Linked DNA regions of Alligator mississippiensis. The main gene of each other region encodes a partner of the protein of the gene in region 2 in a complex. Links are inferred from orthologs where the notes say so. Each region holds a gene or a part of one and is shown on either strand. Other genes may lie near its edges.

The links.
Region 1: SYNRG (region 2) and AFTPH share a complex: the UniProt entries of both Homo sapiens proteins name them as parts of the aftiphilin/p200/gamma-synergin complex. The link is inferred for Alligator mississippiensis from reciprocal best matches to the Homo sapiens genes SYNRG and AFTPH.

What each region holds. Positions count from the first base shown.
Region 1 is NC_081824.1:214,442,381-214,452,455, reverse strand, and holds the start of AFTPH (aftiphilin), read right to left. Parts: upstream 4,836-10,075; 5' UTR 4,721-4,835; intron 1-4,720. Other genes in the region: uncharacterized protein LOC132246577, read left to right, coding at 5,762-5,881, 7,529-8,179. UniProt on the Homo sapiens protein: Component of clathrin-coated vesicles.
Region 2 is NC_081837.1:5,843,704-5,854,553, forward strand, and holds the start of SYNRG (synergin gamma), read right to left. Parts: upstream 4,186-10,850; 5' UTR 4,164-4,185; coding exon 4,081-4,163; intron 1-4,080. Other genes in the region: probable ATP-dependent RNA helicase DDX52, read right to left, coding at 10,292-10,379, 10,789-10,850. UniProt on the Homo sapiens protein: Plays a role in endocytosis and/or membrane trafficking at the trans-Golgi network (TGN). May act by linking the adapter protein complex AP-1 to other proteins. Component of clathrin-coated vesicles.

The DNA.
Region 1 (10,075 bases), on a different chromosome or scaffold from region 2:
CAACTGTTCTTGCATTTATTTATAGAGCAACATGTTTTGCTCCATGTATAACGAAACCTTCAAATTTAACATGCACTAAGGTAAAAATGGGTCCAGAAGTCTAAGCTCTCATCCGATAGGTTCAAAGTTTGGTGTGTAGACTACTGTAATGATAGCTATAAGAGCAAATACAGCTGATGCTCCTATCACTGCTACAATTCACTAGTTTTTAAGCAAATAAACATTATATTCAAGACACACAGAACAGGTAGGCAACAAATATCAAGCAAAAATACTTCAACTGGCCCAGAAAGAATAGATTTACATCATTTATCTTTTATCAGATGTTATCTACAGTTGATATATTAAGACCATTGTAGTGCTTGAAGAAATCCAGTACTTGAAAAAATGAACTCTATTTTCCATTGTGTTCTAATGGAAATGTGAACTTGAGGTATCACATTTCCTTTTCCAACTATGTGCTTCAGAACACACTCATGTGAATGGAGTCAATTGCTTTCCTTCTGTTACTTCAGAAGAGGAATTCTTCCATATAAGGGATCTACATTATTTGTTTCAAAGAATCATAAATAGAAGTGATTTATTAGGTCTCCTTGCAAACATCCTCACCAATAAAAAAAATGTTCTTCTGTGCCAATCCATACCTTTAATTTATTTATTTTTACTTTTAAAGAAAATTCTACTAGAAAAATGCCAATTTCAAAAAACAAAGATACTATCCAGGACCAGTATGAACAGTTTTGCCTTGAATATAGAAGGAAATACAGGCAGTTTTTTTTAAATATCCCCAAAAAATTCTCTCTTCTCAAGATTTTTTGAAAAAAAAAAAAATATTTTTAGAAAGCACCATTTTAAACAGGACAAAGATATTTTCTGTTTACGTTGATTTCAACACAGTGAAAAAGTATCGTTTTAAGTGGTCAAACAGGATGCAAAAAAGTAGTCATAGTACAAAAAATTGGATTTGGTAAAAAAAAAAAAAAAAAAAACAAACAAAAAAACCCCCACAAAACCTCCCCACTTATAGTTTATTCTTTTGACCATAACATGAAGAGCCAGATTTGGCATTAGTTTCTTTATTTTTAACCCACTAAAAAACCCTGTTTTTTCTAGCCCAGTAAAAGGTAGAAAGAACTTTATTTCAAGAGGGGGAGGGCAAGATTAAACTGCTATCTATCACCTGTCTGGTTTGGGAAAGGCACAAGTCTTTGGAAAAGAATAACAAACAAATAATAAAAACTCACACACATCCACAGGAATTAACTTGTCCAATGTAGATATTAAAAAAACTGGACACTAGCATATCAAGGAAGGAAAGCAACTGTTATGTTAAGATGGAAATATAAAGTTGTACTTTTGCTTTATTTAACAGAAAAAATTAAGTCTGAAAACTTCATTTTTTAAGTTTGCAACACATTAAAATGTATTAATTTAAGTGAAAGAATTAGTTACAGAAAATTTAGACATCACATATTTTATGTTTACACCAAGATCCTGCATATGCTTACTTAGAAGCATGAGTAAGACACCAGAACAGGTTACTGTGACCCTTCTTAAAGCCATTAGGTAGACGGCAGGGCAAGGTAGCGCCTTAAAGATGTAAGCATCTGACAAAACAGGCTGTCACTTATGAAAGCTTACACCGTTCTGAATCAGTTAGCCTTTATGTACACTACCCTATGTTGCCCTGCCTTCTACCTGATGTCAGATTGATATAGCTAACCACCCCTCTTGGAAAAAAAAATCTGCAAGAGGGAAAAAAAACATGGTGCCAAGAAGGGCTATACAGTTTCCTTATCTTTATTACTACACAAAAGCACGTGTTAAAAAGCAACATCAATTTACTAACATTTGGAACAGTCATAGACCCGAGCAGTTAAGACAATATGAATGACAGCAACTGCAGAGCCCTACTAGCACAGTCTGAGCAACTGCAAAGTGGGAAATGGAGAGCACAAAGTCTGTGAGTGACCATGCATGTGGTGTATTTCTATCTCCCTCCCCGTGTTTCTTTTTGAATGACACAGAAGAAAAGGAAATTTTGAAGTCCAGTAAACTACCAACTTCTAAATTCTATATGTATTAAATATAATCCAGTTGCAATGACAGCCTAGTCTGGAAGTTTGAGTATTGTGATATTTAGTAATTTTAGATACTGTCCCCTAAAAATAAAAGTTGCCTACTGCAGATTCAGACAACTATTTGATATATTACTAAATAAATACAAAAAGCAAACAAAAAAATACAAACCCACAAAAGCAACAGGTTTACTATTGGTTTTCAAGAATAGCATGTAAAACAGGTCATAACATTGAGTGGAGTTTATTTTTCCTATTAAAAGTATAGGAGTTTTGCCATACCTTTAGGACAATATACAAAACAGATACACAAAAAGAGAACTCCAATTGTCTATTACATTTTTCAGATCAATTTCATGTGCCAAGGAAACAACAAAAACAATATTATGTGTTTAACAGTCTCCTTATTGGACATTTAAGCTGAAAGTCTCTCTAGCCACAAGTGTTAAAATAGTTTCAATCTGCCTAAAGCTCTCACTTTCATTTAATTTAATTTCACGTACAGAAGAGAAGGTCTTTAAACAAAAAACAAACCAAAAAAACAAAAGCAACAGCCAAAGTCATATCCCTTCTTTCTTCCACCCATAATTGTGCGTTCTTTTAATTATATCTCTGGTTTCATATATAGAAGATATTACACTGAAGAATTATAAGGAGTTTTATTAACACCACATCCTACATACAGGTTTGTGTGCACTTGCAAACACACTCACAGTATAACCCAGCCTTTTCTCTGTTTTTTTTCCTAGAAGGCTAACTGGTTTCTGAGAGTCTAGTTCATAACAACAACATGTCTAGAGAATAAATGAAGAGGAAATAATTAGAATTAAAGGTCAATCACCAAGGACAATCCCAACAGCAATTTTTTAATCAATATTCCATAAATTCACTCTCTCATGAGCTCAACAGCTGAAACTTAATAGTAACCTGCCCTGTGTTTCAGTTTAAAACCAAAGGAGTAAAAACAACTTACATCAGCAATACAGTACAACCCCTGCAGTGAAGTTAGTCTAATAAACAACTCACTGACCAGGTCCCTTGTAACAGGAACCAGGTCTTGCAGTGCACCGAAATGAAATTGAAACTTTCAGAAGTGGAACAGGCAGGAAGGGCCCCCCCCCCCCCCCCCCGCCTGCAATCAACTACTTGTCTTCAGTTACCATGGCTTGTGTTCAGCTCTTTGGTCAGCGATCACCTCCACCAAGAAACCACATTCCGGTAGTCTTGGGAGAGGGCCACTTCCCAGAGTGGACTCGGGAGCCAGAATGGTGGCAATGATGATAAGAACAGCTATTGTGATGATCATAGAAAATGAGGGCTGGAACAGACCTCGGGAGGGCATCTAGCCCAAACCCCTGCTCAAAGCAGGACCGGCCCCAACTAGATCAGCAGTTCCCAATCTGCAGCACAGGTATCACCAGTGGTATGCAGACAACCTGCTAGTGGTACATGTTAACAGATTTAGTATAATTACTTTATGAGACAAAAATGTGCTGGTGATACTTAAGGTTGTATTGTTTTTAATTGGTGATGTTCAATCTGTCAGAGTTTGGGAACTGCTGGTCTAGATCAGCAGTTCTCAACCTTTTGCACCTCACGCTCAGGGCCATCCCTAAGGGGTGCGAATCGGGGTAACCACCCCGGGCCCCGTGCTTTGGGGGGCTCTGCGGAGATGGGCAGAGCGGCCGCAGCGAATCCATGCTGCTGCCAGCTTCACATCCGGCTGCTCAGCAGCCCCCTACCCCTGGCTCCACCGAATCTGCCGCGGGGTTCCTCGCATCCAGGGGCAGGGCCCCCACACAGGCCTATTAGCCCCGGACCCCGCACCCTTCTCGAGTTGTTTCTGCTTATGTCCCACCGACCATTGTGTTAAAAATCCCCGGTCCCACCATGATAAAAACAAAACCCCACTTTTCCCAAGAATTGTAGTTTTATGTTTACATACATTTTTGTATTATATTAATCATTCATGGAAATTTTCAAATTAGTTGAAGTCCCACCTACACAACCTTCGCGCCCCACTGGTTGAGCCATAGATAGCACTCTAGATCATCCCAGCCAAAGCTGTGTCTAGCTGGGTGTCGAAAACCTCCAAGGATGGAGACTCCACAACCTCTCTGGGTAATCTGAGTGCCTCACCACCCTCTTACTGAGAAAGTTTTTCTCTCGTATCCAACTTAAACCTCCCTTGCGGCAACTTGAGCCCGCTACTCCTTATTCTGCCATCTACCCCCACTGAGACCCCTCCAGCCCCAACGATGACAAGGGCGATGATGCCATTTGGGCAATAATAAAGATTAGATGATCACAGCGGCTGCAACGCCGACAGCCACCTGACATTGACACAATAAGCAAGGTCTCAGGTTAGGGCTCCCACACAGCAGCACTTGGCCCCTTTCCCCCACTGCTCTAGCCAAACAGCCCCCCGGGACTCGCAGCTGCCCTTCCCGCCGCCCGGAGGGGTCCCACACCGGAGCCAGGGAGCAAGGACCGAGACCAGGCCCCGCCGAGCCCCGCCCGGGGCGGGTCAAACGGAAGGGCCTCGCTAGGCCGGGCCGGGCCGGGCCGTGCCTGCCCTGCCCACAGACCCCGCGCCGGGCCGGGAGCAGCGCCCCCCGGCGGGTCAGGAGCAGAGCCCTCACCTGCGGGCTCCTGGCGGGGCGGCGGGGCCGGGCATGGCGGGGCCGGGCGGGGCCTGGCAGGCGGCCGCCGTCAGGGGGACGCCATGTCCGAGCCCCGGGCAACAGGAACCGCGTCGCTCAGCCCCGCCCCCTCCGGCCCGGCCCGCCCTGCCCCGCCACCCACGGAGCCCTTCTCCCAGCAGGCCGCGCGGTACCGCGTCACTTCCCGGGAAGCCCCCGGGGGAGCGTGGAGTGCCCACCATCTTGGAGGCGGGCAAGGTGGGGCAGAAGGGCTCGTTTGGCCGGTGAGACTCAGAGGGGTGAAGCCAGAGCGATGCCTGAGCGGCCATGTTGGAATAGGGCACTTAGCCTTCCCTTCCCCGCTTTCCTTGTGGGCGGAGAGAGCAGAGTGTGGGGCCTGGGCGGGCAGAGGCTTCCCCCACTTCCACCAGGGGAGAGGGAGGAGTACCTTACGGGTGCACCGCTCACACCGCACTCGCTAAAAGGAAGAACTTCTGTACTCTCTGAGCTCCCAAGGCCTGGAGCAGACTCCTCTCAGAGTTGGTGCAAGTACCTATTCTGGACACTTTTAAAAAACATTTGGATACTTATCTTGCTGGGATCATTTGACCCTCCCTGACTTCCTCCCCTTGGGCAGTGGGCTGGACCCGATGATCTTAGGAGGTCCCTTCCAGCCCTAATGTCTGTGAATCTGCAAATGTGCCATGCTGCAGCCACCCCAGCCCCATTAGTCCTGTCCCAGCTAGGCTCAAACTCCAGGGGGGCCCAAAATCAGGGGAGCCGTGTGCTTGGGGCGGGGAGGTTGTTTCTGTTTGCTGTGTGTCAGTGTTGGAGCCCCTTAGGGTCACATTTCTGAGCTTTTCTCTGGAAACTGCCAGGCTTGAAAGATCATTACTTTTAATCAGCAATCCTGGGACTCTGGGAGCTGGCACTTCATGAAATACCACATACCCAGAGGCATGGGGAGCAAGCACCTTGCCCAAGCTTGTAAAGGAAGGGAGCCAAGGCCCAGCCACTTGTTCATAGATTCATAGACTGTTCATGGCTAGAAGGGACCTCCAAAGATCACTGGGTCCAGCCCCCTGCACCAGGCAGGAAAGACAACTGGGATCAGGGGACTCCAGCAAGGTGCCCTCCAGTCTCCTCTTGAAAACTTCCCAGGTAGGTGATTGCACCACCTCTGGAGGGAGCTTATTCCACAGTCTGGACACCCTAGTAGTGAAGTAGGTTTTCCTAGTGTTAAGCCTGAATCAGTTTTCTAGGGTTTGTGACCATTACTCCTACTTTTCCCCAAGGGTGCTCTGGTGAACAGTTCACCAAGCCCTTGATGTACGCTTCTGATGTAGTGGTAAGCTGCTACCAAGTCCCCTCTCAGCCTTCTCTTTTTCAGGCTGAAGATTCCCAGATCCCTCAGCATTTCTTCATACGGCTTGCTGTGCAGAAAGGCTCACTCTCCCTTTCTCTGTGCTTACCAGCCTCAGTCACTCCAACCGCACAGGGTGTGGTGTCTATTGCAACGAAGGCACTACAATCGCTAGTGCTGACTGCTAGTTTAAAGCCAAATGTGTTGTGAGGGTGAACCTAGGGCAGGTGTTGGGGGAGAAGGATTGTGCTATGTGTGTCTTCTCCCAGTCTCACGCTGCATTTTTCCTGCAGAAAAAGTTACAGGGTTATAATAAAGGGGGTTCAGGAGTGGGGACCACAAGAATTAGAAGGGATGGGGAAAGACTTCTACAAAGAGTTTGAAAAGATTGAGAACATAAGGTATAATGGATGTGAATAGGAGGAGACAGTAAAAATACACAACATCATGAAGAGCAAAGAGAAAGTAATTTGGGATCTTCTCGTTACTTGTCTCATAACACAATAACAAAGGGGAAAATTCAAAACTGATCAAAGGAAATGCCTTTTTGCACTACTCATGGTTATCTTGTGGAATTCATTGCCCTCAGATATCACAAGAGATCAGGAGGTTATCAGGGTTCAGAAAGGACTGGAGATGTATATAGATAACAAAACCATGCAGTTATAAACCCTTGAGCATCAAAGCATGACTTTAGCCCCTGGCACTTCGGGGAACGTTGAAAATGAATTGGAGTAAGTTACTTTGCAACTCTTTTCTGCAGTTCTCTTGCCCCTTCCTCTGAAAAATCTGGTGGTGGCAACTGTTGGACATGTGCCAGGGATTAGATAGGCAACTGGGCTGATCCAGCAATTCTGTTCCTGTAATCCTCTCTTTATTTGGGGAAGGGATCCCAAAGTCAGTGTTTCACTCTCTACCTTGCCGCTTTGTCACCTCAGGGCAAAATGCTTAGGTCCCAGTTCTGCAAAGCACATAGTCCTATCTGACTGACTATCCTAACCAGGCAGAAGGCAGGGTAGAGATACACTTTATAGACAAACTAGAGAGCCCAAGCTTTTGTGAACTCGAGTTCACTTAATCAGATGCACAACTTGTGACAACACCCCTGGAGCTCAAGTCCAGTTTGGGACCTTTTTGACCATCTGAATTTTCTGGAGCTATCAGCCCTAGTGAGTAAATGGGCTATTAGAAATGGAAGAGAGAAGATTCAGCTTTCAAATTCTGCATGTAAAATGTGACACAGGGTCTGATCCATAGTTCTGGAAGAGGGAGGAGAACCGTACAAAGACTGGGTTTGGGAGTATGGCTGTGATTACACAAAGGTTCTGCTCCAGTTGGATAATCTTTGCTTTTTCCAGTTTGTGCTTTTATCATTTTATTTGTTTGTTGCTCAAAGGGGAATACCTAGGTTTTCCTGAAGAAGTGTATTGTATTATTTCACCCAGCAAGGACACTCCTCCAGAGAGGTAGATCGCACATTTGAAAGAGCCACCTGGATACCACATGAAGAACTGCTGCAGTACAGAAGAAAAACACCCACAAATCGCACACCGCTGGTTATGACCTATCACCCATCCCTTGAACCTATACGGAAAATCCTCAAAAAATTGCAACCCATATTAGAAAAAGACCCTATTCTTAAAAAAATCTTCCCAGAGCCACCCATCCTAGCCTTCAGACAAGCACCGAACCTCGCCAACCTCATCACCAGAAGCAAACTTCCTCAGCCCCAGAACACGCCAAAAGGATCCAGACCGTGCCATGACAAGAAAAGCAAAACCTGCCCCCACATCTCCACCACCTCCACTATTACTACACCCCACAACAGAGCCATCAGCATCCCAGGATCTTACAGCTGCACCTCCAGGAATGTAGTATACCTCATCCAATGCACCAAATGCCCTGATGGAAGATATGTAGGAGAGACCAGACAACAACTGCGCACCAGAATGAACGCACATCGGAAATCCATCAAAGACAGAAACACCCAATTACCTGTGGGGGCACATTTCTCACAGGAGGGCCACTCTCTCTCCAATCTCAGTCCTGATCCTCAAGGGAAATTTACACAACACTTCCCAGAGACGAGCCTATGAGCTCCATTTCATCAACCTGCTGGATACTAGAGATCAGGGACTAAACATAGACACTGGATTTTTGATATATTACAATCCGCCTGGCAACTGACTCCCCAGCCCAGCCCAGCCCCTGGCTTGTTTACTTTTCATTCCATCCAGGAAGAGCACGCAGCAAGTGCTGCAGCGTCCTTAGCCTGACGAAGGGTTTTTGAACCCGAAAGCTTGCTTAATAACTATTCTCCAACCATTTGGGTTGGTCTAATAAAAGATATCAAATTCACCCAAGGAACCTTGTCTGCCTGTATTGTAAGGAAGAATTTAAAGAAGAAAGAACAAAGGGTTGGGTCCAAGAGAGTATTCAAGGCATGCTCAATTTTTAAAACTTGTAATCACTCTGTTGTACAGAGAGAGACAGACAGAGAGAGAGAGAGAGAGTGAGAAACAACCCTTGGAAATTAGTCAAAACAGTAATATATGACAGAACACTGAGAACAAAACAGTAATAATCACAGCAGAAAATAGCACTAAAAATATAATATATTTGGATATTCTATATTGCAAATCCATATGCAGTATTAGTAAATAGTCCCTTAGCTTAAAGTAGTTGAAGTTATTTAGAGAAGCATATCTGGAATCAGAGCCAAATCCTCTGTACTCTAACTTCTTTGGCTTCACGAAACTGACTCTCTATAACACAATACAGTACAAAACAAATGATAAGACCAAGAGAGAGATTAGGGCCTAGTTCCTGCAAATACTTAAGCACGTGCTTAACTGTAAGATCTTAGATGGATAATGTTAAAATGTGTTTAAGACTTGGATCCTGTATACATAATATAAGTGTTAAAATAATTCGCAAATAATGTTTATTAAGCATGAACTATGCTAAATCATTGTAAAGCTTTGGGAAAATATATTCTAAATTTCAATTAGCTTAGGAATGTTTCTGCAGCTGAGGCTATAACACGAGAAATTAGTTATTATATTGCTCTATTACTATTATATTTTGCCCCCTGGTGGCTGTTCCACTTTCTTCAAACAGAGGTCTCATACTGTAAGAAGTCCCTGTTGACCTGAAAGGAAGTAAAAGGAAGTTGGGGGGGAGGTAAGGGTGGAGAACAGGAAACAGAATAATGTAACACTTAAAGATATACTATCTTGACCATTGTAGACTGTTCTGTTTGGATATGAAGGGGCGGGGGGGGGGGTGAATCTCTGAAAACAGGAAAATACAAAGCATTGTAAAAAAGAAATAAGCAGTCCATCTCAATATCCACTGAAGACTTAAAGACCACATATACTGGTTTTCATAATACAATACTGTACTATGCAGTAATATCTTATCATTTCTGACTCCAGCTATGATCAGTTTTTGTCTCTTATATCATCCTGCCCAGCTACACCTGGCTCCCTCTGGAAAGTCCTCTCTGATGGATCAGGTATCTGAAAAGATATGTTCATCTCCCTGGCTGTGAAGGCTGTGTGGACAGTTCAGGTCATCAGTTCGGGTGCTGTAGGACCTAATGGCCATCTACCTCATCCGGACTTGTCTCCAGACGTCTTGAGACTGTTGTGCCAATAGATTCAGAGAGACCTGGATGAGAGAGTGAGGGTGACTCTGTGCAACTTTCCCTCACTTAAATCCAACTCATGTGCAAGCCATGACATCATCTATATCCCCCCATAGATACACTCAAGTCCTATGGTGATGGGCGAGCAGCAAAACAGCAGGTGTGAATACACTGGGAGCTGTAAATGCAAACCTGCACACAGGCAGCTCAGGGTATAGGGTCACTTTTCGCTGGACCAAAGGAGCAGTGGAATTTGGCACCTCCCTGGGTGACTGAGCAGCCCTATTTAGGATCACACTGATCACCTCTGTAGCATGAGAAAAAGGCTAGAAAAGGTGCCCTA
Region 2 (10,850 bases):
TTGCAGCAAATTAAAATCAACCAGGGTGGCCTCCTCCTATACAACGACATGGACAATTGCTACTGATGGGCGTCAGAAAGGATTCTCCTGACTTAATCCTGAAGATAGCTCCACAGGAGGACCAAAATGGTTTTGAGGCATCTACATGACCAATGGGAATGTTTTCAGCATCATTTTGTGTTGGGTCAACCGTGGGCGAATTTCTTGGTACAGGCAAGGCCTTTAAGAACTGTAAAAGTAATAAAACATCCCCTGCTGGATAAATCTGATTCAGCAGAATCATTAACTACTTTATAACACTTTTTCTGCAGAGAAAGAAACTACCCAAGAAATACTATACACTTGCCTTATGTTTTTCCTCTTAAATACGAAGTAGTAAAAGACAGGAGGAAATAGACAATGCACTAGTTTGTGTTTAATTTTCCATTGTATCCAGTTAAAAGAAAAAAAATAAATGGGGGATGGGGACAAAAATCACCAAAAGCAGCAAGATAAAAACATATTCAAAATTCAACTGAAATGATAATACCAACATCCCCACTTTGAAGCAGAAAATTAGCTTTGCCCAACAGAAAAAAAGAAAACCTAGTTTAGGGATACTGCTTGTAAGCAATTCCCAGACAGATGTCAGCAATAATTTACCAACCAAGAATTTCTTTCAGTGCTCCATCAACCTCTTGCATCAAAACACTATGCAAAGACAAAGAAGTGTGTAGACATTCAACATCTCTCAACTCGAGACAGGGTGAGCAAGAGGTCACCTGACAAACTAAAAAAACAAAGCAAAGAGAAAAATGGCATGAGAATGAACTCCTTCTCATGCAAAGAAACCTGCACTGATCAGAAAACCATTCTCCTATGAGAACCTAAGGAAGCTGGATTCATGGCTGTACCCAGTCCTCTTACTATGCAGCCTGTGTGTATAAGTGAAGAATTCAATCCCAGATAAACACTGCATGTTTTCCTCCAGACAACCTCCTTTCTGATTTGAACCCAGGATCCACTTAGCCCCTCCAATCTTTGTTCTGCCTAACCATCAAGTTACAATTTGCCTTCACCTTTCACAAATCTGAAATGCATACCTGCATCCTACCCAAAACAGACATTACCAGTTTACTTCAGTACCAGTCTGCAGGTTTTCTGTTACCCGACACATCTCCCACAGTCCTGCTGAGGGTCTGTTTCAAAGATACAATCTACCTAACGTAGAAATATGCATTGGGACTGGACTGTTCAAAGGGAATCCAGCCCCGATCTCCTGTGCCCAAAAGCTTATCGGTTTATTTGAGTAGGCCAGTGCACATGAAACAACTTTGGTAGCTTCAGTCCAGGCCTCAACAGATGGATACTGACAACACATACAGCCCTGCTTTAAACAGGCAATCTCGTCTAAAGATTAAGCAGAAGGGCCAAATGATTTAATTCCTCTTTTGCTGCAAGAGAGGGTTCCTTCTGCACTATGTTTGAGGCGTATTGACAGGACAGAGTGAATTAACTGGATTCCACCTACAGATCAGGGGTGTCAAACTCATCCCGTGGGAGGGCACACGTGCCAGCTCTACCCCTATGCACCACATCCAACCTGCACTGGCCCAGTGAAGCATGCAACACACAGGGCTATTCTAGGACTCACATTACACACCGCATATAGGGCCAGTCTGGAGTGTGCGCTACATGTGGCGCCAATGCCAGACCAGCCATGTGCACTCAATCCAGCAAGTTTTGCCAGTCTGTGGGTCCAATCTGGACTAGATTTAGTATGAGGGTCCAGTCCAGCATGGGCACTGCATGCAGGGGGTGCCCCAGACTGACCCTGTGCCAGCTCCAACCACATGCACTGTACTGGGCCTGGGCCAGCACGTGCTGTGTGCATGGTGCCGAGACAAGACCCAGACAGCACTGCAAGCCAAATGACTGGGCTCCGCAGGCTGGAACCAGTGCACAGGCCGTATCTTTTACACCCCTGCTATAGGTAGAGGATTTCTGTCCCAAAGGTTGCCAAAACAGCACTTCTTCCCAGAATATATAAAACGTATGCGACTAAAAGTAGTTCCATTATGTGCATTTCTGTAAGAACAATCAGACTGGCAACTAGCACCTTGCTCCAAACAAATTATTCACTTGAAACCTGCAGCATTTACAAGCCTCATCCTTACAAGCGAACATATGTTACTTTATGAATAATGAGAGAAAATTTTATTTGAGGGGAAAAAAGCATTTTCAGCTCTCTTTTTATTTGGACAGGGAGTGCTTCTATCAAAGTGTCCTCAGTTATTTTAAATGACTTCCTGTTTCTTCTTGGCAGAAATTCTGGTGACAGAAATAAGGATCTCTTCTAGTTTCACTGAAATGTAATGTAATCTGAACAAGCGCAGAGAGGTACCATTGCATGCTGGAAGCAAATAAAGAACAATTGATTAAATATTCATTCCTTTCTAGAGAAGTGGTGATTTATTTATAAGCATCCTAAAAAACTGAAGCTAATTAGAAGCCAACTGTAAGAGCTGGTTAAGTGTGACAAAGTTGGTTTCTCTAATAAAATATTCTCTCTGTGTGTTTAGGCTGCACTGTGCACCTTGTAGAGTCAAAGATTTAGCATGCGTTTGTCTACTTCTAGGCTGTACAAGAAACCGAAAACTACATCAGGAATTCTGGGACAGAAAAAAATAAGCGTCTTTTCAATGACGTACAAACACAGAGGAGAAAAAAAATGGGTATACACATCCAATTAAAAGCAGATTCAGAGTTATTCCCTTTTATCAAAAGAACTCAATTTTCTTCCTCAACAGTGGGCACAATTTTTTTTAACAGCAATAATTAACTGTTGGTCTAATAAAAGATATCAAATTCACCCAAGGAACCTTGTCTGCCTATATCCTTAGACCAACACAGCTACAACCTAAACCCCTGCAATTAACTGTACTAGAATTCATTTATAAAAACAAATGACAATTTACTGATGCGAACGGAGCCGATTCCTAAATAAGATGTTATACCCGATAACACAACTTTTTCAGCTGACAAGAGAATTACGTGCTGAACAAACCAGGTACTTTGTAACACGGGAAAACCAGGTAAAATATGGAGCTGCCTAATTTCCAGGAGTTGCGTGCTGTAATTAGTAGTCTGCAACGCCCGCTGTGCGGGCTTAAGACTAAAGGGGAGTTAAAAGTAGCGGAAAATCAACGTCTAAAAGCAGCACGTGCGATCGACGCAATATAACGGCCCGCAGCTCCGCTTTATATACGATCATCGCAGAAGAGCGTTGTATTTCCCCTTGTTCTACAAAAGAAAACGTCATTTATTTGTAGATATTTCTACACCGACATCCATCCGCCTCGTCCATATCGCCGGCCGCTCGTGCTGCCGAGGACGCGACGCCGATATTCAACGTGCTTATTCTCTCCCGAGCAGCGGGACGCCGGGCATGCTAGCAATCGCACGCGCAAAGAAGAGCCGCCGCCGCCGCCGCCATGCACGCCGGGCGGGTGAAAACCAACGCTATCCTACGCGAGTTTCTCAGCAAATCGCCGACTTTGACCGTAGGAGCGCGACTGCCAGACCGCACCGCTCAGCGGCAAATCCCCGCCACGGAGCGTCCTCGCCGCCGCGACATGGCGCCGACAGACAGACAGACAGACAGACAGACAGACGGACAGACATACATTAATTATCCTGAAGTCCCCCCGCGCCCAAATGACCGCCTCCACGTCCTCGACCGCGCCGGGGCACGCGGCTCGACCGGAGCCGGAGGCCGCGAGACCCCGAGGATTCCCCGCCGTCGGGATGTTAAAATGGGATGAGACGCGGGGACCCAGTGGGATGAGGGGACACCTGCCGCGGTCTCTCGGCCTTGCCGGGAGCGCGCACTGGGCTTTCCAGGGACGCACCCAGGCCTTCCTGGGGATTCACGCCGGCACCCAGGCCTGTCAAGGGAGCGCTCCGGCAACTCGCAGCCGGGGCCTGAGGGGAAGCATCCGCTGCCCCGCCGCGAGCCCCGGCTCTCCCCGCCGCCCAGGCGAGGGGAGCCGAGGGCTGCCCGCCTCCCTCTTCCCCTCAGCGGACGCGGTGTGCGCCTACCTGGCGGCGGCCGCGTTCCCGGCCCCAGCCCCGGCCCCGCCGGCGGCAGCGCCCCCCGAGCCGGGCCCGGGCCGCAGCGCCATCTTGCCCGCTCGCGCCGCCCCGCAGCGCCTGTCAGCGCCGCGCCGCCGCCTCATCCGGCGCCGCCTCCCGCGGGGCGGGGCCTCCGCCCGGCCACCGCCCCGCCCCGCCCACGCGCATGCGCACGGGCCCCGCCCCACAGCGCCCCCACCTGGCCACCGCCACTCGGTGCCAGAGCGCCCCTCCCAACTTCCCCCACGCTTTCCTGAAGGAGAAGGGATGGGACCCACAGACCAGACACCTGGGAAGGGGCCGGACAAGAGGCCTGCAGGAAACCCAACAGGCCTTCCAAAGGTCCGAGAAGTCTTCAAAAGGGCCAACCGAGAGGCCTTCTAAAGGTCCAAGAGGCCTTCAGAACGGCCAACCAAGAAGTCTTCAAAAGGCCCAATCAAGAGGCCTTCAAAAGGTCCGAGAAGTCTTCAAAACGGCCAACCGAGAGGCCTTCAAAAGGTCCGAGAAGTCTTCAAAACGGCCAACCGAGAGGTCTTCAAAAGGTCCGAGAAGTCTTCAAAACGGCCAACCGAGAGGTCTTCAAAAGGTCCGAGAAGTCCTCAAAACGGCCAACCGAGAGGCCTTCAAAAGGTCCGAGAGGCCTTCAAAAAGCCCAACCAAGAAGTCTTCAAAAGGCCCAACAGAGAGGCCGTCAAAAAGTCCGGCAAAGTCACCTCAAAGAAGCCCTTCCAAATCAATATTTTACAATATAAATATGTTAATGTAGCTGTATTGCTCATCTGTAATCAATTGAGTTACAAAACGCTGGGTTATTTTTGGTGAAAATTGGGTATCGGGAACCGATCCCCCATTTATAACGTTGTTTCCTATGGGGAAATCGGTTCCGAGTTACGACGTTTCGACTCAAGACGTGGTCGTCAGGACCCAAGAAGTCTTCCAAAGGTCTAGCTGAGAGGCCCGCAAAAAACCCAACCGAGAGGGCTTTTTGTAGCCCCCCCCGGGAGGGTCTCGTGGCACCCCAGTTGAGGATCGCCAGGTGAAAGCGTCCCCGTTTGGTCTTTCACAAGACCCACAGACAGCATTGCAGCATCCATCACTGTGTGGAAACCAGGAGCACTCCCACCAGCCAAGCCTCTACCACCATGGCTGTGTACCACCATGACTCCACATAAACCACAGGGGAGGGCTGGCTAGGAAGAGAGGTGCCTGATTTAACCACGGCCTAAGAAAGTGTCTGATTTACCTCCCAAATATGACATATACACATGTACAAGCATGAAAACCATATTCTGTCGGCATTGAATGGAAACCCAAGCTGCAGCCTACTGGGATTCATAGTACATCAGCAATGCTACTCCTATGAAAAAAGAGATGTTTCCGGAGCAGCTCTGACTAGTTCAGACTTCAGATCTTGCACAGGGCACTGCCAACCTGGCTGCTCACGGTTGATTCCCCCACGGCTGCCCTGACGTGGATAATACCCCTGAAGTGGAGAGGGACCACGTGGCAGAAGGAAGACACCCCCTAGCCCCAAAACTGTAGATCACTGTGATCTACTCATAATACCTAGAAATATATTTTTCATTTAGAACAGGGGAGAGGTGTGTAGTGTCTTATATGAAACAGTTGTGTGTGTATGTATAAAGTTAGGTCAAAGCATTGGAGGCCTATGTCCACGTTTCTATAATCTGAACTAAGACACCTACTCCAAACCCTTGGCACTCATCCATAATTGAGTTTTTCCCTTGTTCATACGCTGTATGGAAGCCACCATGCCAACTTGGTCAGAAGCATGCATATACCGAACAGAAACCCGAGCATAACTTTTTACAGCTCGTGATGAATCTAAGAATGGCCATATAAAATGAACTATATTTTAAAATATATTTGTATATTACAGATGATCAAACATACACAATTTACGGGGAGGATAGGTAGTCTATGACCCATTAATGTGGGCACAGACTCAAATATTCATAGACTAAAGTTACAGCCATTATAACGTTAGGTGTGCTAGAGTGGTTCAGGATTAGGGCTGTAAAGCGCAACTGTTAAGTGTTGCTCTAAACAGCTGATGTTGGGATGGTAGGAGCTGGTGCAGGTCAGGTTTCAGATATACATTTGCAAAGCCTAGAGGCGTAGGCACAAGATGGGACTAACCATATATTCTAGAGGTTAATAACACGACGCCCTGGTAAAGTTATACACTGGACATTTGCCCACACTAACCTTTGTGAGCATGGCCCTCTTGGAATTGAGTATAACAATTAGTCAAAGCCTTTTAGAAGAAAGGGCAAAGGTTGACTATCAAATCATGCTTCTCACTCTGTTTCATACATTCAAGCTGTCCGACGCATACAGATAACAGTATCTGACGTGATGTCAGTTTACAGATTGCTGGTCCTACCCCTTGATTTAAAATGGAGACCAGCAGATGTAGGGGTTTACAAATAGCAAATTGTATTTAAAAAATGTTAAATATGGAACAAGCAATCTTCATTAGAATAGGAGAGTGGGAAATTCAAAAGGATGCAGAAGAGCTGGGTTCTGTTTCACTGAATTATAACCATGTTACAGTCCCAACTACTTCAGTTTATCCTATAAAAAGTCCATGCCTGCCTATTCTCTATAGCTGTTAAAACTAGCATATGTAAAGTGCTTTGAAATCCTATGCCACAGGTGGCAGAGACATACAAGAGTAAGAACCAAAAGCCTTTTTCAAGCTTTCTGTGATTCATCACAGCATTCAGTAAACAGTCTGGTGTACTACTTTTGGAATAAATATGCTAAAGAGGACGTCTCTTACCATAAAATCTTGGCTACTTAACTACATTTTTTAACACATATTCTCACACTTGAAAAATATTAACTTGCATTTAGGCAAAAATCCTCTAAAAAAATAAATAAATAAAGGATATAGATATCTCACTTTTCCTCAGGTTCTCAGGTCCTCTAAGAACAATGAGTGAAGAAAAAAAACCTATGTTGAGAAAGTAGATTGTCATTTGGTTTGTTATAGTGCAAGCCAACAAAATTTCCCAAGGGTCTCGGGAAAGCACCAAATTGAAGCAATCTGTCTAAAATACCTGCGTGCTTTCTAGGGCAAACCTACGGCCCTAGTTTAGTACAGCATCAGCGCTGCAAGATGGAAAAAATGGAAATTTGTTGCAACAGTTACTTATTACTGTACTCTGCCTATTGAACAGTTCCTAAGAGACTCTGAAAAAGGCATTCAAATAAAACTTTCCATTCACACTATCAGACATTTATTCTAAGCTCCAAAAACAATCATTTTGCTCCATCAGAGACTTGAACACGTTGCTAGTTTCATAGTTTTTTTCTTCGTGGCTCCTTCATGTTAATCCTTTGACATTTATTGAGTCCGACCTTTCAAGTACCACATTTCCTCCAGAGATCTACAACTTATTTTAAAAGTACAGTATTGCAGATGTCAGAAGCCTAAAGCTATAAGCAAAAGCTTGAGATAAAGCTTGTTTCCATTCGGAGTCCTGTCCTCTTCGCATCAGCGAAACGAACGCTCCTTTCATGTGGGAAAACAAATATCTTTCTTTCATCTCTGATCTGGAGAAACCAGTTTGGTAGTAGTAGCCAGTACAATCCTCAACCTCTGTTGGGAGAAAAGCAGTTACAGGTTTGAGGTTTTTTGGCGATGTATACAGCTGTCCAACTAAGAACTGGTTGCAACTGTGAGCTTACTAAGTAGACCAGAAAGAACCACTTTTGATCCCATCTAGATTTCAAATGGCAACACATAAAGGGAAATGTTTTATATCCTGGTAGCCATATCAAGGCTAGCTGTTCTCTTGGTTGCTTGAAGCTCTAGGACACAACTTTATTAGTTAAAAACATGGGGAATCTTTTTTCATTTCAGGAAATGACAGCACGAGGGGTAAAGTTTGTTAACCAGACACCACCTATACCATTTCCCAGACTATCTGTGTGCTTCTAGGAACTGCAGCTACTACAGGGGATGTTCAACTGGGATCCTGCTGTAATCTAGACACCATCCCCTCCCATAACAGGAAAAGCAACAGTCCTTATACAATGTAGCATACGACTGCAAAATTAATCTCCCTTATGATTCTGCCAATTTGCTATTTATCCCACTTCCAGAGGTACCAGAGCATCACCTTTACACTAATTGCCAGCCCACAAAATCCTAATCATCATCATGCAAAAGCACTCCTTGTGATTAGGTGGATTGTGAGCTGCTAGCTAATGATGCAGCTGCAGCAGAGCAGCTTGTCTCTCTCTCAATGACACCAGCAAAGAGCCAGCTAAGGCATATTAAGAAACATGGACATTCTGGAGAGTTTCTATATGCTGTTTGCCATCTGCCAAGTTTAAGAAGTTTTGTATGATATCTAGCAGCATTTAATACAACGGTTCCTTCTGACGGGTACTGCTGCTTTATGTTGCTCAGTGGTCCAGTGATAGCAGTTAATTATCTGGGCTTTCAGAAATCCGAGTTAGGCCTCACATTCCTACTACAGTAGCTCAACTGAGTTCTAGGCAGTTCTCCAGCTAGATGGATCTTGCACCTAAGTCCTTAAAAACTAATGTACAGTCTGCTCTTTGCAGACATTAATTTATTGACACAGTTTGCAAGGCTAAGAATTTAAAATTGGCGAGCTAATCGTTTCCTCCTGGTCACACGCCTATTATACAGCACACTGCATATTAATTAGCACACTGACAGTTACAGCTTGTTATTGCTATGAGGGAAGCAGTGGTAAGCCCTGCATTTAAAACTGTTAAATGTTTCCATTATAGTCTTCCAGCTGGTGTTTGAGAACTCAAGATTCTCCACAATTGCAGCAAGGACTTGAAATGTAGCAGGAAGGAACGCTAATGCATTTTTTCTCATAGTACTGAGCAATTTGAGCGAGAACTGCATACACAAATTCTTATTTTAATAAGATTTCAGAATATGACACTTCTCTACATAATCCTAATTAAATGCATCATTTTCACAAACCTAGTAAAGCAACCTTGCCAAATAACTTAAGAATAATCAGATATCTGAAGTGATCCTGGATCAGTTTTATTTTTGTAAAGTAAGGCAAACTTAGAAAATGTCTCTACAGCCTTCAACAGAACAGAAACACCGAGAGCAGCCTGTAGTGAATGATTTATGTAAAACTGGGATCCATTTGCAAAATGGACTGAAGGTAACCAAGTCTTGAGGAAGTGGGACTCAATGAGCACACATTTCAAAATGGGTACCAAGCAACAGGAACAGCCACTTAGAAAAAGATTATCCTTGGAGAAGAGAAGTTGCCCTTGCATTGTTAAAATTATCTGTTAAGGAAGCTATGTCCAAACAGAGTGGGTTTAAGAAGTGAAGAAACAATAAAAAGTGTGGAATGTGTTCCTTATGCATAGCACAAGCATAGACACAGCAACTGGAAAGCAGTCCTCCAAGAAATACAAGAGACTGAAGAATCTCTGGTCTTAGAATTTTCCTCAGTTTATTTTGCTTTGAGGTTTACCTTTAACCCCATAATAAGATTTTACTAACTTTTGATGCATTTTATATGAAAAACCCAAAATACTTCTATGTCCCATTCTTGCTGAAAATGAAGTCATGAATTAATTATTCAAATTGATTTATACAGCAAAAAGAATCTAGTTGCAGGGGTAGATCTTAAAAAAAAACAACAAAACAAATTAAAAAAAAATCACAGAAAAGGAATAGAACAGTCTTTAAGAACAGCTGGACTAGCTCAGCACTATAATAAAAACCTGTGCATTCTCAGATCTTGCATATGTAAACACTTTTCATCCCGACTTCAGAAGATACTCATGGGCCAGTTGTATATCTCAGCTATTCCAAAAAGTGATACTGAACTTTAAGCAAAACAGATGCTATTTGTGAACCATTCCTTAGAAGCCTGGGGTGTCTCACTGCAAGAGCATGATCTTGAGCTTCTATAAGAAGCACATGTAGGATTTTTTTTCCCTCAACAGTGACTTTTTTTTTTTTTTTGCATGTTAGTGTCCACTGCTCTATATGGAAGAGTTAGAAAAAGGAAGTTTTGCTCTCTCTTCCTTTGTCCTTTGTTGTCATCTTGGACTTTCCATTTTCAAGTATTTATACAATATATTTGTCTAGCTTGGTTCCAAGTCCAGTTTGTTTGTCAGCACTCAAAAGCCATCAACTTTCTGGAGCAGTCTGCAATTGAGCATTTTCTTTGGATGCTTTAGCTTTCTTCTTTTCCTTAGTATTTTTCTGGATAATTTTCCTAAAAAAAATATTAACAAATTAGCAATGAAGGTATCTAGTGAATTTATGACTGAAAGCTGAAGCGTATGTAAGTGAATAATGGGTTGGTGGCCAGTTCCCAAAGAACAGATGCTCACACCAACATAATTGTCAGCTTAACTAGCAGCTGACAAGGATTAAGCTAAAGGTGCTTCATCCAGATCAGCTATGAAGTACACAGTGCAGGGCAGCACACAGAAGCATGGACTGCTGGTGCCACAGCTGGACCCGTCTCATGGATATTTAGAACATCTGTCCAAGTCTAGAGTTATATAATGAACTACTCATGCAACGGGAAATTGCAATAAAACATTAATTTTCAAGCTCAAGCCCTTCAAGAAGGCAAACGAAACCAGATCTCTCAGCCCCTCTTCAGAGAAACTACTTACTTTTTGCTTTTTCCTTTTTCTAAGAAGTACTGAGGCATGGTACGAATGTGCTCCCTTTCCAG